Bombyx mori: one gene and its partners. The protein of the gene in region 2 interacts with the protein of the main gene of each other region in a biochemical or structural test. Links are inferred from orthologs where the notes say so. Each region holds a gene or a part of one and is shown on either strand. Other genes may lie near its edges.

Evidence for each region. The genes of interacting proteins can lie anywhere in the genome.
Region 1: the proteins of cullin-5 (region 2) and ring box protein form a complex in vitro, tested with the Homo sapiens proteins (4 studies listed by BioGRID and IntAct, with this or other methods). The link is inferred for Bombyx mori from reciprocal best matches to the Homo sapiens genes CUL5 and RBX1.
Region 3: the proteins of cullin-5 (region 2) and protein big brother form a complex in vitro, tested with the Homo sapiens proteins (4 studies listed by BioGRID). The link is inferred for Bombyx mori from reciprocal best matches to the Homo sapiens genes CUL5 and CBFB.

What each region holds. Positions count from the first base shown.
Region 1 is NC_085119.1:7,170,813-7,176,241, reverse strand, and holds ring box protein, read left to right. Parts: upstream 1-2,169; 5' UTR 2,170-2,228; coding exon 2,229-2,321; intron 2,322-2,413; coding exon 2,414-2,441; intron 2,442-2,506; coding exon 2,507-2,628; intron 2,629-2,705; coding exon 2,706-2,791; intron 2,792-2,952; coding exon 2,953-2,965; 3' UTR 2,966-3,299; downstream 3,300-5,429. Other genes in the region: histone-lysine N-methyltransferase KMT5B, read right to left, coding at 4,502-5,429. UniProt on the Homo sapiens protein: E3 ubiquitin ligase component of multiple cullin-RING-based E3 ubiquitin-protein ligase (CRLs) complexes which mediate the ubiquitination and subsequent proteasomal degradation of target proteins, including proteins involved in cell cycle progression, signal transduction, transcription and transcription-coupled nucleotide excision repair.
Region 2 is NC_085129.1:7,723,917-7,729,290, reverse strand, and holds the end of cullin-5, read right to left. Parts: intron 5,127-5,374; coding exon 3,496-5,126; intron 2,376-3,495; coding exon 2,238-2,375; 3' UTR 2,194-2,237; downstream 1-2,193. UniProt on the Homo sapiens protein: Core component of multiple cullin-5-RING E3 ubiquitin-protein ligase complexes (ECS complexes, also named CRL5 complexes), which mediate the ubiquitination and subsequent proteasomal degradation of target proteins.
Region 3 is NC_085110.1:9,018,864-9,025,449, forward strand, and holds the start of protein big brother, read left to right. Parts: upstream 1-2,156; 5' UTR 2,157-2,417; coding exon 2,418-2,585; intron 2,586-4,790; coding exon 4,791-4,970; intron 4,971-6,586. UniProt on the Homo sapiens protein: Forms the heterodimeric complex core-binding factor (CBF) with RUNX family proteins (RUNX1, RUNX2, and RUNX3).

The sequences.
Region 1 (5,429 bases), on a different chromosome or scaffold from region 2:
GCTCGTCTACCCATCTAAGCAACTAAAAAAAGCAATTAAGCAATAAATAAAAAAGCATCTAAGCAATTAAGCCTAAAATGAATTTTGTGAAACAGATGCTGAGCGGTCAACTGGCCCTCATAATGGCCACAAACGGCTCAAAACATTAACTACGTGTACGGAGTGAACACAATTTTTTTTTGCCTACCAATTGGTAATAACCTCAAGGGGCTATACTCTAGCTAGCTTCACCGAACGTGCATGCAAGATGACAGGGCTCAGCCTGGAAGACTTTATTAGCATCTGCATGAACACTACAAACAAACGCACGATTCTTTATTGGTTTAATGGCATCCGAAACGGTAATTTTAATCAGAAAAATAAAGTTAAAGTCGAAAACTAAAGTCAACAGCGACGAATTAAAGGCGGTGTGGAAGCTGACGATTACTCAATCTATTGCTGAGTCAGCAGCAGCTTTCAACGTTAAATTGTCAAGGTAAAAAAAAAAACTAGATAAGTGCGTGCCGCACGAACTCAACGATCGCCAGAACGATTAAGGCTTTAAAATATTCCTTGCGTTGGTTACCAGACACAGAAACAAAGGGATTTTAAGCCGCACTGTCACATGCTACAAAAAATGGATTCACTTTAATAACCGTAAACAATCATCATATTGGTAAGACCTTGGTTTGGCACTTAGGATATAACCCAAACTAAAACGTAACTCAAAAAAGTCATGTTCAACAGCTTTTTACCACTCACTATGTGAACTGTGAAGAACTGGAAACAATGATGGAGGAGATTTCCGAATCTCCGGCTAGCCTTGGTTAATCACTCGTACCCGCTGCTCCGACACGGCAACGCTCGATCCCATATGGCACAACCTACAGACTCTACACTACAGGCGCTAGGGTTAGATGTTTTACGTTATCCACCACTCACCAGAACCTGCGCCAACAGCTTTCTACTTTTTCCAAAGTTGCACAATTCTTTTTGCAAGGAAAAAATACAATACCCGAGAGGCAGTACAAAATGTCTTTGAAGAGTTTGTTAGCTCCAATGCACGTGGTTTCTTCAAGAAAGGCATTAAAAAATTAGCACGGCGCTTGGAGACATGCATCAAAACCATTGCAACTTTTATTGAGAGAAATAAAAAAATTAAAAAATTACTGTGATTAATGGTTTATATACCGTGATCATGGCGCTTTACAAAAAGGCGAAATTCACTAAAATAAACAATCGTGGTGAGAGCACTATCAATAAGATATAGACATAATCAAGTGACTGGGATTATCCATCAACAGCTTGCTCTGAAATATAGCTTAGTTGATTCTGCTGTACCTTATTACTAATACCAACCTCAGCAGCAAATTCTTAAAAATGGTCATGTAACGCTCTACTGGAATCGATCTATTATCATGGATAGGTCTATTGTTGCCAATAAGCATGTTATTGTTATTGGTCTGCACATCGAGCAATTTTGGTTGATATCACCATCCTCATGACGAGAACCTAGTAAAGACAGGAAAGGACAAATTAATAAAATATTTAGGCCTCATTCACGAGACTATCACCATGTGGCATGTTGATTCAACCATCATTGTTCCAGTAGTTTCAGTACAAAGTTTGATAGTGAACATTTTCGTTATCCAGCTGGGTTGGGGTCTGGTACAAAAATCAGTCATTCTTGATACGGCGCATATTGTGAGGAAGTTTCTCACTCTGGAGACCTAACAGCTTGTGTCGTAGACACCGCCATCGGCGACAATAATCGTTTTATGTAGTGTTTTTTTTAAATAGTTTTTGTAATATTTTTTATTTTATTAAAATACCGTATAATTAATAAGATTTAGATAGATAAGATTTAAAAATACAGTATAATAAATAACACTTTGAAACACAATGAGGTGAACACATTCATATCTGGATGCACTATATAGAAAAGTCGGGTGTTAGTGAAATATGTTAATTCCTCTAATTACAAACGATTTTTCGGGAAAGTTTATTTAACAACTTGGCAACATTGTTAATCTGACAAGCCGATTTTTGGCCTAAAGGTCTAGATACCAGGCCATAATCTTCAAAATAAAAAGCCGATTTTCGGTACTTGTAACACTAATAATGTCAAAAACGTCAAAAAACAAATCAACATGAAGTTTTTAAAATTTCGATTCAGCTGTCAAAAACATAATACACAACCTAACAACTCTTGGTTATTTTTTAATAAAACGGGGTAGTTTAATTTGAAAATGGCTTCTGTGATGGATGTTGATGAAGAAGAAGTTGAAATGGCTTCGTCTAGTAGTGGCAAAGGAGATAAAAAAAGATTCGAAGTAAAAAAGGTGAGGTGCCATTTTGCAAACTCATTGTTGAGCTCTTAATATTGAAAATTTCTTTGTTGTTTCTAGTTTTAATGTAAACAATTTTGTTACAGTGGAATGCAGTAGCACTCTGGGCTTGGGGTAGGTTTCTTGATAATAAAGTTTCGTAACCTCTACATCGTTCTGAACATGATTTTGCTTTCCAGATATTGTTGTCGACAACTGTGCTATTTGCCGAAATCACATAATGGATCTGTGTATCGAATGCCAAGCAAATCAAGCCTCAGCCACTAGTGAAGAATGCACAGTTGCTTGGGGTGTTTGTAATGTATGAGTACCAATTTTGGAAAACACAATCATTATTGACTCAAAACTAATTTATTTAATTGCTTGTTTTTGTTACAGCATGCATTCCATTTCCACTGTATTTCCCGTTGGTTGAAGACTCGACAAGTTTGTCCACTAGACAATAGAGAATGGGAGTTCCAAAAGCAAGTACATTTTATAAAGATATATTACCATATATTCCGTATAATACTTTAATATTGAAATTGGTTGAGTGGTAAATAAATCAATGATAAGGTATCAAAACTTGTTCACATTTAATATAGACAAGATATATTCTATTAATAATATATTTATATTTTTACAGGTATGGTCATTAAATGTCATTTAGAAGAGCTGCATCCTGCACAGGAGTTTGACATCTTCTGAACATAGGGAATTAACATGTCAATATCTATTAAGTTTGTAATAATAAAATAACTCTTACAAAATTCTGTATGTGAATTTTAATTGAAAATTCGTTGAAAATCTGTTGTTCATAATAATCTGGCATAAAAATAGTAAACTCCTATGATTATAAATAAAAATTTTACTTAATGGAAGCAAGTCACTCCAAGATATTCTTGCAAGCACGTTATAAATTACAAGGTAAATAAAAATTACATAAATTACTCAATAAAGTATAAAAAGAATTTTCAGAGGCATTTTATTGTGATATTTATTTAATTATTATTTTACAGTCACTAATTTGTTAACATTGTGGAACTTTTCTGATTTTTATACCCATTCCCAGGGAATATCACAAAAGCTAGTAGCCATAACTAGCAAAATATTATTACTATACTGTACCTTAGTAACATAAAACTAGGCTCATTATGATATACCAAATGAAAGTTTCAATGTTCTAAAATATTGTGAACCACATTTAACAGTCTGTTGTAATATTGGTATCCAAACCCCATTTCATTTGTAAATATTTCACAAAATACTTCATATGAATAATGAATAGTAAAGAAACAAATATTATTTTTCATATAAGTCACTGGCAGATATTTTAAAAAATGCTTAGAATCAAGAGAAGTATTAGTCAAAGTACAAAATGCTTACTCAATTTTGGAGATAAACAAGAAATTTACAAACAACCAACAATCAATACCACAAATTTGCAAGCAAATTTCAAGGTTCAGTTCACATTACACTTTGGCTTCTCTTGATTCATTCTAGTCCTGGACGCTGGCATGTATTTGGATCATTATTTTGGGATTAGATTCAACTGTTACGAAACAATTTATTCAATAGTTTGTAACACTAAATAATTGTAATTGATAAATAAAGGAATAAACAACAACTTTACTTGAAGTCAGCACTCAACAACAATGCTCATTACAAAATTAATCCATGATACCTAGTTCAAATATGTCAGTACTAGTTTTGCTTTCCACAGACAAGTTTTTACATATTAAGTAATCAACTTTTGTCTTTTATCTTTTGCAATGTGGATAACAATTGATTAATAATTTCTCAATAAGTACAATATGCTAACTAATTAAGATCCTGTGAGTTATCATAATTAAGTTAATTAAAATTACCATTACAAAGAACACTTTTTTTACAATTATTTACATGATACTATTAATACACTATAATTCATTTATTACTACGATTTAATTGTAATTTTTGTTCTTTAATGAAAACGGGAAAAATAATTGTGCTAATTAAATAATAATGACATTATTTCACTATTGGATTTAATAAATATTGGAATCATCAAATAAAATCCAAAACCTATCACACAATACTCAAATTTCCAAATTTTACATCACAAAATAAATACTAGGTAAAATAATTCTAGTCAGTGATAATTATACTAATTATTGAAAATAACGGTGGAAACAACAATAAGGTAGTTGCGGCTGTCAGTCTGCTGATAAAGCTGTAGGCAAATCGATAGTGCGACTTTCGTTGCCAAAAATTAATCTTAGGCGTTTCATTGGAGGCAGAGGACGGACAGGACTATGTTTTCGATGTCGTTCCTTGGATCGACGTCGTTTCTTCAAGCGTCTAGCAGTTTCGGGATCGACACCTTCTAATCGTAAAACTTCATACTCTGGTGCTTCAGCAGGTGCTCCACAATCCATTACCTCTTCAACAACAGGACTTCGTTTTACACGTAATGTCAACTTCAATCCACGCCTTGGTGGAGTACAAGGGCAATCACTGCTTTTATTAGAATTATCCACTAACCAAGGAGGTCCAGAATCAACTTCTCTTTTTGACTCATCACTTCTATTGCTTATTTCTATTTTTTGAACCTTATTGTTTTTACTATTGTTAGGCTCACTTGGATTTACATTTTCCCTAAAATCAATTCCACTCTTTAAAGACGAATTTTCATTTCTCACCGTACAATCAATTTCATCAGGTTCTTTTTGAACCTTTGATTTACTTTCTATAATTTCTATTTTATCCTCTGTCGCTGTAGCTATAGGCAGGTCTGTTTCAGTTAGAGATTCTTTTTTATCACAATTCTTACCACCTAAATGGGTATCAGTATACACAAAAGAATTCAAATCTGAACTGTGTTCATTATCATTTACAATAGGTAGGTCGGGTTTAATGTCAAAATTGGAAATTTCTAAAGTGCTAGGTAAATCAGCCTCTTCTTTTGGTGTATTCACATTTCTTTCATATTTTATGTCTGAACCTACTTTTGATCCATTTTTTATCTTAGGGAAACTGGGTTGAATGCACGTATCAAGAAGGCGTTTATGACTTCTTAGCACAATTCCTGAATGAGAATCTCTACTGCTTCGGGAACTGGCAGTGCTACAACAACGAGAAGGA
Region 2 (5,374 bases):
AGGGCGGCAGGGAAGCTCTGCGCTCGACCTCCCTGTCGACTAACTCGGTGTGTTCGGGGTCCGCGTGTTGAGTGCTGGTGGTGCACTGTTCTTGCAGTGCATCGGCCAGCAACTCTGCCTTGTCATCGTCATCGTAAGCCGGTGGTTGGCCTGAGGGGCGTACGAGAGGCGGCATAGTGGCGATAGTTTCGGACTTGAGGGTCCTAGCTAGTCGCCAGTATGCTTGGTGAGTGGGCGCGAGTTCTTCTAAATAACTATCCCAGTTTTCGTTTCGGGCGTCGCTTAAGCGGGATTTGACCTCCCGCTGTAAGCGACGCATCCGAGTCCGGTTTGAATCCGTGGGATATCGATCGTAGGCCCGGATTGCCGCGTTTCTGACTCTTTCAGGGTTATCGCCAGGCCCGGGCTTTATATATAAATCATATCGAACTATTTGGAGCTATTTGGTTTAAGCGACATTTTTGCAGCATTACAGGAGTCATTTAAAGCTTAAAATTTGAATAAAATATAACAAAAAAAATGCTTCAGATGTTCGAATGGGGTAAAGATAACTGATGTTCAATTAAAAACTTAGAACCTTTGATACCAATACCAAATAAAACGCACCTTTAAATACAAAGATAAATGTCACTTAAAACAAATAGCCTTTCACCCCTCGATATACAGTATTTAATAATAGCATTGAATAAATATTTCAACTAACAATAAAAACATTTTTTTAAAGGTCCTCTGCGAGTATATAACAAAAAAGATTCCCGTACCCCTAAGGGATTTCACATCGCCTCCTCGTATGATTGTTATTCGTTCATTCGATGTAAATAAGCCTGGTTGCGAGGTTGACGATCTACGGGGTGGCGTGGCAGGAGGATCAATTCTTCAAGGAGTTCTAACTGTCGGTATGGAAATCGAAGTACGTATTGTCTGTCATGGTAAATAAATAATAATAGTTAATATATTTTTCAACACATAAACACTTATTTCACAGGTGCGGCCTGGTTTAGTCAGTAAGGATGCAGATGGTAAATTAACTTGCCGACCCATATTTTCACGCATCGTTTCGCTGTTTGCCGAGCAGAATGAGCTACAGTATGCCGTCCCTGGTGGTCTTATTGGCGTAGGAACGAAGATCGAACCAACGCTGTGCCGTGCTGATAGACTTGTGGGACAAGTATGTTTATTTTAAGCATCTTTCAGCTGTAAAAATTACTTCCAAGATTGATATTTATAAGTTTAATTACTGACGATGGCACTGATAGGTTCTACCGTCCTGTCCATTTCTATCAATAATCAGTTATCAATTAAAGTTTGAAGGATGGGACATTGGACAACTCCCTAGGCGGGTGGCGGCATTCACATTTCTGAGGTTTTGGCACCGTTAACCATTTAATATCAGAGATGCGGCGTTACTCATCAAATGCAAAAAATAATACCTATTCTATGGATATTTTTACAATAGGCACTAACTTATTTCTGTTAATTTCGCAGGTATTAGGAGCAGTTGGATGTTTACCGGGAATTTTTGTCAAACTCGAAGTATCTTATTATCTTTTGAAACGTTTGCTTGGCGTGCGCACTGAAGGAGATAAAAAGGCTGCCAAAGTCCAAAAATTAGTCAAAAATGAGGTAATTAACAGTGGTACATTATTTAGAAACTACAGTAATGTCTTAGCACTATTTGGGCCGTTAGGTTGATCACACATCTATTGTAATTAAAGTTGCACATTAAATATTTTTTAGGTCCTCCTCGTAAATATTGGATCGTTAAGTACTGGCGGCCGAGTAATCGCCACAAAAGTTGATTTGGCTAAAATCGCCCTTACGAACCCTGTTTGCACGGAAATTGGAGAAAAAGTAGCATTGAGTAGAAGAGTAGAAAATCACTGGCGGTTAGTATCAATGCATAACTGGTATACCACATGTGCTTTGAAACAAGTTTTGTCAACATATTATTACTTATTTTCAGGTTAATTGGTTGGGGACAAATTCAAGGAGGTACAACTATAGAACCAGCCAACAACTAATTTTATGTTTTTTTTACATTTAATAATGTAAACTATGTTCTATGTATTTAATAAAATATTAACATAATATCAATATGCATTTATGTTACCTACCTTACAATTACTAATAAACAACACATGATATTTTGAACTATTAACAGAGACTACAGATATAGATATATAAACAGAGAAATAGAGTAAATAATTTATTGATTTTATTCATTTACATTATTGACTTTAGGCCATGTATATAAACGTGTTAATATCTTCGTCGTCGCGACGCATATATTTATGTTCAATAAGCCATTCTAATTGCTCTTTTATCATTTTCTTCGATGGTAGAAACATATTTTTTAGAATCTCTACCAGCTCGCTCTGCAAGGAATAAAAATAATAAAAATTTGTTACTTATTTATAAAGAGCGGACGGTTAGCGTGTTATGGTCATATTGTGATGCGTAGAGATGCACGTAAATAGGAGATGTATGGAAATTGTGGTATCCTGCAGGGGAAAAAAGGTCGACCGAAGAAGACATGGATGGAGTGTGAATGACGATATGAGAGAGAGAGGAGTGAGTGTTGAGATGACGGCTGATAGAGGAGAATACAAACATTGGCAGTGTCGATCCCACTTAGTGGTATAAGGTGGAGACAAGGAGAATGTATTTATTAGTGAACAATACAAGAAAAATCTTCAATTGGTGATCTTCGTCACTTCGTCAGCCCTTATCGTCTGAATTTCTGCTGCTTAGAATAAGATGTAATATTTGAATATGTGAACCCAACACACCTTTTCAATTATTTAAATACCATATAACATTTATTGGAGAATTAAGAATCATGAAAGCAATTACGAAAACATTGTCAAAACTTATTTATTTAAGCAAAGGCTTTCTTCCAAACCAATTTATTATACCTAAGTATGTTCAAATTTTTCTTTTGTTAAGTCATGGCAAAATTATAATCAATCATCATTTGTGCAGCATGAACTAGCTCAGTATCTACTTGGTATCAAGTGTGGTTACTGAAATATAAAAACACTACTACCCCATGTGGTAGAAGACCACTTTGCACTATTATGAGTGTAACCTGTAAGGAATACAGTACTTACTGATGCAATCTCCTAACACAAAAAGCTTACCTTAAGTATTTATATACATATTTGTTTTTAGTGGAAAGCATTCATGTACACATGTTTGGAACAGATATTCAAAGTTAACACAGTAAAAGCTCTTTATTCGCGCTTTCACTATTCGCTGATTAAAAAAATGCGACCTAATGCCTACGTTCGCGCCTAAAGATTTCTTGATTCACGAATCTCTATCTCGAAATCTAATCAGTACATACACATTGATATAAAAGATTCCAAGGTAGGAGGTCGAACCGAACATCCTTTGTAAACGCGCTTTTCCATATTCGCAGCATATTTAGGGAAAATATAGCCTGCAAATAGAGCTTTTACTGTACATCGAAACAAAAATATATAAGTTCCATACCTGAAGTGCTGTGTTTGTAATGCGTTTCCTCATCTTTAGTATTTTTATGATTGCCTCTTGAGTCCTCAATATTCTTAGCTGCACAATGGAATGATTATCTTCTATTTGAGATCTCTCTGTACTCAACTGAAGTCTTCCAATCAAATTTATTTTACCCCTACGTTGTGGTTTTCCATTCTTAATAAGCGCAAATTCCTGATTTACCCAAAATATTGTATTCTGGACAAAGTCTTTAGGATTTTGAATCAATGGATCATAGCACAACAATTGCCTTTTTAATTTTGGGAAAGCCACAAGAGACCATAAAGTCCTTCTCAGTTCAGGGTCTGGAAGTTCTGTTGCTAATCTCAAATTTTCATAACTTATTTTTTCCATAGGTCTTTGATTCCATGCAAATAGCACTGCCATTTGAAAAGTTGTAACATCCAAGTCAAAACGACCTACTGAATTAGCAAATGTTATAGTGCCATTGCTCATGTGATGATACCACTGCAATTTTCTACCTGAATGCTTTTTTTTATAAAACTCTTCAACTTCAGGAATATAGTCTTCTAATTCTAGTGGCAGACTTACTGTTACTCTTTCAGATCCACGGGCCCAAGCTCCAGCATTGAGTATTTTAATATTGATGGCATCATGACGAGTTGTGTCTGCCCTAAATTGTGTATTCAGATCCTCACTTACTTTTACATCTTGAAACATTCGTGCTAATTTATTTACATAGTCTGCAGGCATACCTACTTCACGTAACCACTCTACCATATCCTCTTCTTTTTCAGAGTCCGCACTTGAGTCTAATATCAATCTTCTTGTTAAATGAACCTTATGATACCTCATAAATACATCTTTGTTTTCAATATATTTCAAAACTAACAAAACGTCTCTTAATCTTATTTCTATCTGTTCACTAGTTAATCTTTTACTTAGCGGTGTTTTTCGTAATAACATATCACAATAGTTAGCGAGAAGTTCAGGGCACTTGCTTTCAGGAGCTGTACCTTTACTACCACGGGCAAGAGTTGATGAAGGCAACTCAAGTTTAAAAACAGTTGTATCATTTACCACGCATTTATAGGCCTTGTCCCTGGCAGTTAAAAACCTTGGATCATCCAAGAAGGCATCTTTAACTAACATACTAAATTTTCTGAATAAATCCAACAAACGCTCTACATACTTTTCAGAGTCTGTTGTTATGATATCTGCTGATGCAACCATGTCAGCTAAGCCTGCAGATACTATATGGGCTTCTAAATCTCTCAATATCGGCACGACTCCTTCTGGGACCCTATCCAATAAACGAAACATAAGTTGCAACTTTTCTGTCTCACCAGCTTTAATCAATGTAGCACTTTCAGCTAAAAGTGTTGGAAGATGCTCTCCAATAAGTACTCTTTCACAACATTGAGTTAATGCAGCTACACTACCACTTCCTGGCTCCAAATATCGGTGAGCACGAGCCTCTTCTTCTTTGAGACGTTGATCAGCATACTTCATATATGACTGAACTCCATTGGCAAGCAAATGTTCACTTGCTTTCAATTTATAAAATTCTTCTGTGGCTTGCATATATGCAGCTTCAAAATTCTCTCTGTAGATTTGCAATTTATCTATTGTGTTTGAGCACAAATTAACTGTCAAAAGAAAAAACATTTTATATAATTTAAAAAGTGTAACCCTCCATATTACCCCTTTTTAATAAAACAGTGTTTATCAATATCATATAAATAGTATATATGAATAGTATTTATCAACTTTGTATGGTTCAAGTACTCAAGTATTATTATAATATGCTAATAACGTACTATTTTAAACTTTATTCTCAACATGAAAATACAGTGTTAGGTAGTAAAATAGCCACTGTAATACTGATAAAATAAAA
Region 3 (6,586 bases), on a different chromosome or scaffold from region 2:
CACAGATCAAAGAGCAGCCTACGCCGACACGTGTCACTTATTCTCATAACAGCGAAAAACGTGATAAAATTGAAATGTCCAAAATGCAGGGTGCACTTAGTAAGATATGAATATGAATTTTAATATGTTTTATTGATGTAGTCGTTCTGCTGTGTATTGCTAATTATTATAATTGTTTTTTTTTAATGTTACGTAGCTCGATGTGAACTTCGAGTAATATTTTTTTTTTCAATTGCATACTTTTCCTAAGCTGTCATTTATCTTTGGTCAGGATGCGAAAGTGATTAATTTCTGAAAATGAAAATCGTGCCCCACAATAATACAGTAGTTTAGGTAAGTTATGAATTTTATCATTGTAAGTTACAGGTTTGATATGAAGTAGACAAACAAAAAGAAATGAATTATAGAAATATAACTATCAACATTAACTTTATTTGTATTGTCGCTTGTATAATGGGTTTAATAGTTATGTTTAAGTTATTGGTTCATAATATTTTAGTAAATAAATAAACCAAATTCGACTTTATCTCCAGCAGCAATATGCAATTTAAAGTTTAACCATAGTGAACTTTTTAATAGTAAAATTTTCACACTTATTTCGGCCACGGTAGTTTTTGCGTGATACATTTTTTTATATTGACATAGGCGATAAACCAGCAAACTTACTTTGAAGTTGAGGTCTCAATTGTATTAGTTTTTTTTTTATTGCTTATATGGGTAGACGAGCTCACAGCCCACCTGGTGTTAAGTGGTTACTGAAGCCCATAGACATCTACAATGTAAATGCGCCACCCACTTTGAGATATCAGTTCTAAGGTCTCAGTATAGTTACAACGGCTGCCCCACCCTTCAAATCGAAACGCATTACTGCTTCACGGGAGAAATAAGCAGGGTGGTGGTACCTACCCGCGCGGACACACAAGAGGTCCTACCACCAGTAAGTACCATTGTAAAACGTTTCTCTTCAAACGGAAACCCATGACTGCTTTTCGGCTGAAATAAGCAAGACGGCGGCGGTACTTATGGGTGTGGATTTAAATAATATACGCCTCACCACCAAAAATTTCGCCGCTTCATTTTATTACACGATGTTGTTATTTGTTGGTGGAAGTAGTTCTTGAACACTGATGTGATGCGTATGTTATTAAAAAAAAGGTAAATTGGTTTAAAAAAATTGGTACTGCCTGCCACTGCAGGCATTTGCCATGAACACTGACCTGATTATGTCATCGTTTGATAAGAGTACATCGGGCATCTTATCCTTTTGGATAACTTGAAAAGAATTTAACAATCAATGAAAAACGGACTAAGAAAATTAATTGGACTCAAGTATAGTTAACCAAAGCACTCTCTAATTCTATAATACTAAGCTTAGATAGATTCAAATAAATTATTTCGAATAGTTAATGTTTTAATAGTAGTGTACATACCTATATTCTACTGTATGAGACAGCCTTATTGCGAAGATGTATTGTTAACAATAGAAGACGACAACTGATAGTTATCGGCAAACACTTACCAAGAGATAAGTTTAAGTGCACTTTATACATTTCACAGGATGTGTGCCGCCTATTGTATTTTAAAAAAAATTATGGAAGTACTTAAATTCGTCCGATTGAGATGTTTCACATTGATTTTGTTTTCTAATCTCTTCGAAAACTTTTTAATTACGATTAGTTAGATAAAATATGTAGAAAAAATATTATTTTTATATTTTCTTTAATTATTATTGAAAGCTAACGTGACAACATTTTAAAATTGTACTTTACAGATCGAGTAAGGGTAAAGACTGACATTTGATTCATGAATAATGGCGTTACGAAAATCCTTGTTAGCTTTATCGTGGATCGAAATCAAGAATAATAATTTAAGTAGCCCTATAAAATAAGTATAATAGCATACAAAAATATCACATTTCACTGTATGACATCCTGGCTTGACTACCCCTTGATAAATCGGTCGTATATAACATACATTTATCTCGCTACAAAGGAACAAAAGCATCGATACAAGTATATAAAACACTCGAAACTTCCAAAAAGGATAATGCCCATCATTATAAATTCATGTGCTTTGTCGTTTACAGTATTTATTTTCAACAGTTTCGTTAGGGGAAAACCCTCTTTTCGCTCGAAAGCTCCCGAAAGCGTTGAGAGAAGGCGTCGGGCGTTTCGTTCGGGCACGGGTATTGGCTCCACACTTCCCCACCACGCTAAGTCTCCGCCCTAATGAAAATTCTCCCCTAGAGCATGGTATGAGATTTCATTCAGTACCGGAATGTCACGGAGGCAGGTGGTCGTGTCGTAGTACGTACGTCAATTCGTATTATTTGAGTCATTCGTAACGCTGAGTCAGTGAGGCACGCGCGCTAAGTGATGTTTGGTTCCGTGCAAGCAAAGCTATAGGAGCCGTAGGTTATGCACGCTATGAGTGATCCTTCGCCGTTGGCCGGCATGTTGCCTTTTGACTCTATCTACGAGCAGCCAAAGCCAAGGTTCATTTTCAAAATGCCACGTGTAGTGCCCGATCAAAAAGCCAAATTCGAATCAGACGATCTCTTCAAAAGACTTAGCAGAGAAAGTGAGGTGAGTTTTTATAAATGCCAACTTTAACAATTGTATGCAAAGTGAATTGAGTATTCGTTTTTAAATTTTAATGGTCCGATTGCTAAGCCATGCTTTAAACAAACAGGAAAATAATGCATTTGTATAATGTTATATTAGTCATCGACAAATAATTAGCGTAAAATACTTTAACTTATAGTAGTAGTTAGTTCTACATGATAAATATAATAACAAAAAAATTGAAAATTCACTAATACTTATTTAAAACATTTGTAATTCTTAATTTTATTAATTTTTTAATTCCATATAACATGTTATTACAAGGAACAATTGACGATAGGATGATTTAAACCTTTTTCGATCAGAATGTACGAAGTTTGACCGAGTAGAAGGTTCTTTGATTGAAACATAAAATAGTTTCAAACATATTTCATTTATTTCTTATTATCTTATCTTATCAATTATCATTTACTGAACTTAATTTTGATTAAAATAAACGCATTACTATGTACATACCCGACCTAAATACTGAATCTGCATGCTAACTTTCATATCTAACTAAAAGAGAAATCATAAATTCATGTTTATCTTATGGAATTCATGGATTTCGCTGTGAATTTACAATACACCCACAAAAAGAAGAAAAAAAACAAGTCAGAAAGATATGAAAAGGAGTAGGTATACTTAATATGAGACTTCAAAGCGATATTAGCCCACTGAGTTTCTCGCCGGATCTTCTCAGTGGGTCGCGTTTCCGATCCGGTGGTAGATTCTGCGAAGCACTACTCTTGCTAGGGTCAGTGTTAGCAACACTCCGGTTTGAGCCCCGTGAGCTCACCTACACACGTCAGGGTGAAGCTGAAATAGCCTCTCAATACTATCAGCATAGGTAGGAAAAAAAAAGAGGAAAAAAATAAATAAATACAAAAGCGATATGCGGAAATAACAATTAGGAAACAGGTTAATGATGTTCTGGGTTATCGTTAGAAACTTGAACGTATGTATGTACATACATCTAAGCGGCTCAATCCACATCGCACGAATAAATAGCAGTAAAATAATTCATTGTAACCATGTTTAGGGCATATCTATGAAAATTAACAGACGAGTACGAAAACACTTATTACCGGTGGTAGGGACCTTTTGTGAGTCCGCACGGATAGGTACCACCGCCCTGCCTATTTCTGCCGTGAAGCAGTGATGCGTTTCGGTTTGAAGGGTGGGGCAGCCGTCGTAACTATACTGAGACCTTAGAACTTATGTCTCAAGGTGGGTGGCGTATTTGCGTTGTAGATACCACCACTTAGTGTAGTAACCACTTAACACCAGGTGGGCTGTGAGCTCGTCCAGCCATCTAAGCAATAAAAAAAAAAGACATACATGTAAATAGTTATTGGAAATACCTGAGGAATAGCCTAGGATAAAACTAAATAGCATACGGAAAGGAAACCTATACTCGTCGAATGATCCCAAATCATAGATACAGCCCACTGAGTTTCTCGCCGAACCTTCTCAGAGGGTCGCGTTTTCGATCCGGTGGTAGATTCTGCGAAGAACTGCTCTTGCTAGGGTCAGTGTAAGCATCACTCCGGTTTGACCCCGTGAGCTCACCTACTAGCTAAGGTTACGCTGAAATAGCCTCTCAAGGCTCGGCTTAGGTAGGAATTTAAAAAAAACCAGCAAATGAACACAGCATTAAATTTTATTCAAATCAATTTAACGATTTATCTTTAATAGCTCGAATTTAATTTATTCAAGCTTTATTTAAATTTACTATAAACTTTAGTAATTAATTGACCAAATAGGAAATAAATGACTAATACAATGAAATAATAAATAATCATTATAAGTAGGTTTACTTATTTCACGTGCAATAAAAAATCTGCTGCACATTCTGTTGCACAAACTTGTCTGAAGGAATTTCATAACTTTTTTAATGATTCGCAAACCTTCTGTTGTAAATCAAAACGAGTAAGCATTTACAAGAGCGATCATCAAGTAGACAAGAATAGCCTAAAAGAAATTATCCACGGTGTACTAACCGAATTGAAGAAGGAATATATTTATAAATATCAATAGTATAATGCACTCCTCTTACTGTCCATATTGTGAATATTTATTTTTTAGCGCACTACGCACTAGATGATGTTTATGTAAATAGATTTTCAAAATGCTTTGATACGCAAGATAAACAGTATATTTATGGGATGATATATTTGTTGGCAGGTTAGATACACTGGATACCGAGACCGGCCTCCCGAAGAACGCCAGATGCGATTCATGAGCGGTTGCCGCGAGGGACACACGGAGATAGCGTTTACCGGTACCGGCACAAACCTTCAGCTTGTCTTCGATCACTCACCCTACAACAACCGTGGCTGCGACTTTCAAAAGGAAAATGGAAAAGTAAGTCTTAAATGTTGTTTTACGTAAACATCGAAACGGTTTTCTGGTCAATGGTAGCCAGGTCGTCTGATGAATGAAGTGAGGAAATTTTGAAATGGTAATTTTTACATAGCTGCGTTTTGTTTGAAAAAATCTCTGCGTAAACGGCCTTCTGGAAGAGATCGTAAATAATATTAAATTAAATAATTAATTTAAAAAATAATATTTACTTATTCGTTTTTAAATTAAATTATGTTTCGTATGTTTCAAATAAAGTATCTTTCTTATCAACTACAGTGATTTGGAATAAAGTTGTATCTAAAAAAATATCACTGACCAGTAAGTTAGTTATACATATTTTGTTAGATACAGTTTTCATCACTGACATGCGAAAGGAATTTTACTGAAATGTATGAAGTGATTGGTTTTCTTCTATGCCTAACTGTAACTGACAGTTGGATCAACAGCGTAGTTCTTAATGCCGGTTGTACATACTCGTCTCATGGTTTCGCGTGCCTCTCGCTTGCTCTCGTCGCCTAGAGGCTCGACACGAGACCACACCATGTACACACTCGAATGTGATGAACTTCGGATGCCCGTTGCGATGGACCTAGAAGAAGATGACGCAGTTGGCGGACAACTAAATGAACGAGTGTGTACAGGCGCGCTCTCGTTTTCATCGCGAAACTTCCCGAGATCATTTGACTCGAGCGCAAAAAACCGACACGCTTCCCAGAGCCACGAGACGAGACGAGGGTGCCATGTACACACTCGTCCTCAGCATGTCTTTTTCACCGTCCTCACTGAACCTTGCTTGTTGCTTGCGTCGAGGGGCTCAGCAAGTAAATTAACCCATAGACACAACCCACTGAGTTTCTCGCCGGACCTTCTCAGTGGGTCGCGTTTCCGACCCGGTGGTAGATTCTGCAAAGTACTGCTCTTGCTAGGGCCAGTGTTAGCAACACTTCCGGTTTGAGCCCCGAGAGCTCACTTACCCGCTAGGGTGAAGTTGAAATAGCCTCTCAAGGCTATCGGCATATGTAGGATAAAAAAACCTCGGCCTATTTCGTGGTGTCTTGACGAGTGTGTACAGCCAGCGTAATAATATAATTTTGATAAGATTATATTCTCTCTCTTCTATATTACTCTCTTATTCTATATTATTCTTATATTCTCTCTAAAGATGTACATTTGTTTCATGACGAACACTGAAAAAGAAACCCAACCTTTAAACTCGGAAACACTACGAATAATAAAACTATTATTATTCGTAGTAGAAACCTAATTAAGTACAAACGACATATTATGTAGTTTGCTTTAAGTTTTCTTGGCACATTGGTAAATTTTTTTTGATGATTGAAGGATTACTAGTGGCCCGGATGCCTTTCCAGTTTCTCCAGGAGAGGTGTTAGTAAGGTCTGCTCCTATGTAAAATAAACTCAATACTGGGTATGCAAATGTACTAACTTAAAATTCAGCTTAACTTAAATTGTAAATTTCAGCTTAACTTACAGCATTGCGTTAGTATCATATTAGTGATATAGGATAAAAAGTACACATACATTGAAAACGACCAGTAAAATGGGTGCAGTGGTTAACGGATTTCAATAAAAATAGTAAATATAGCGTTTTGAAAG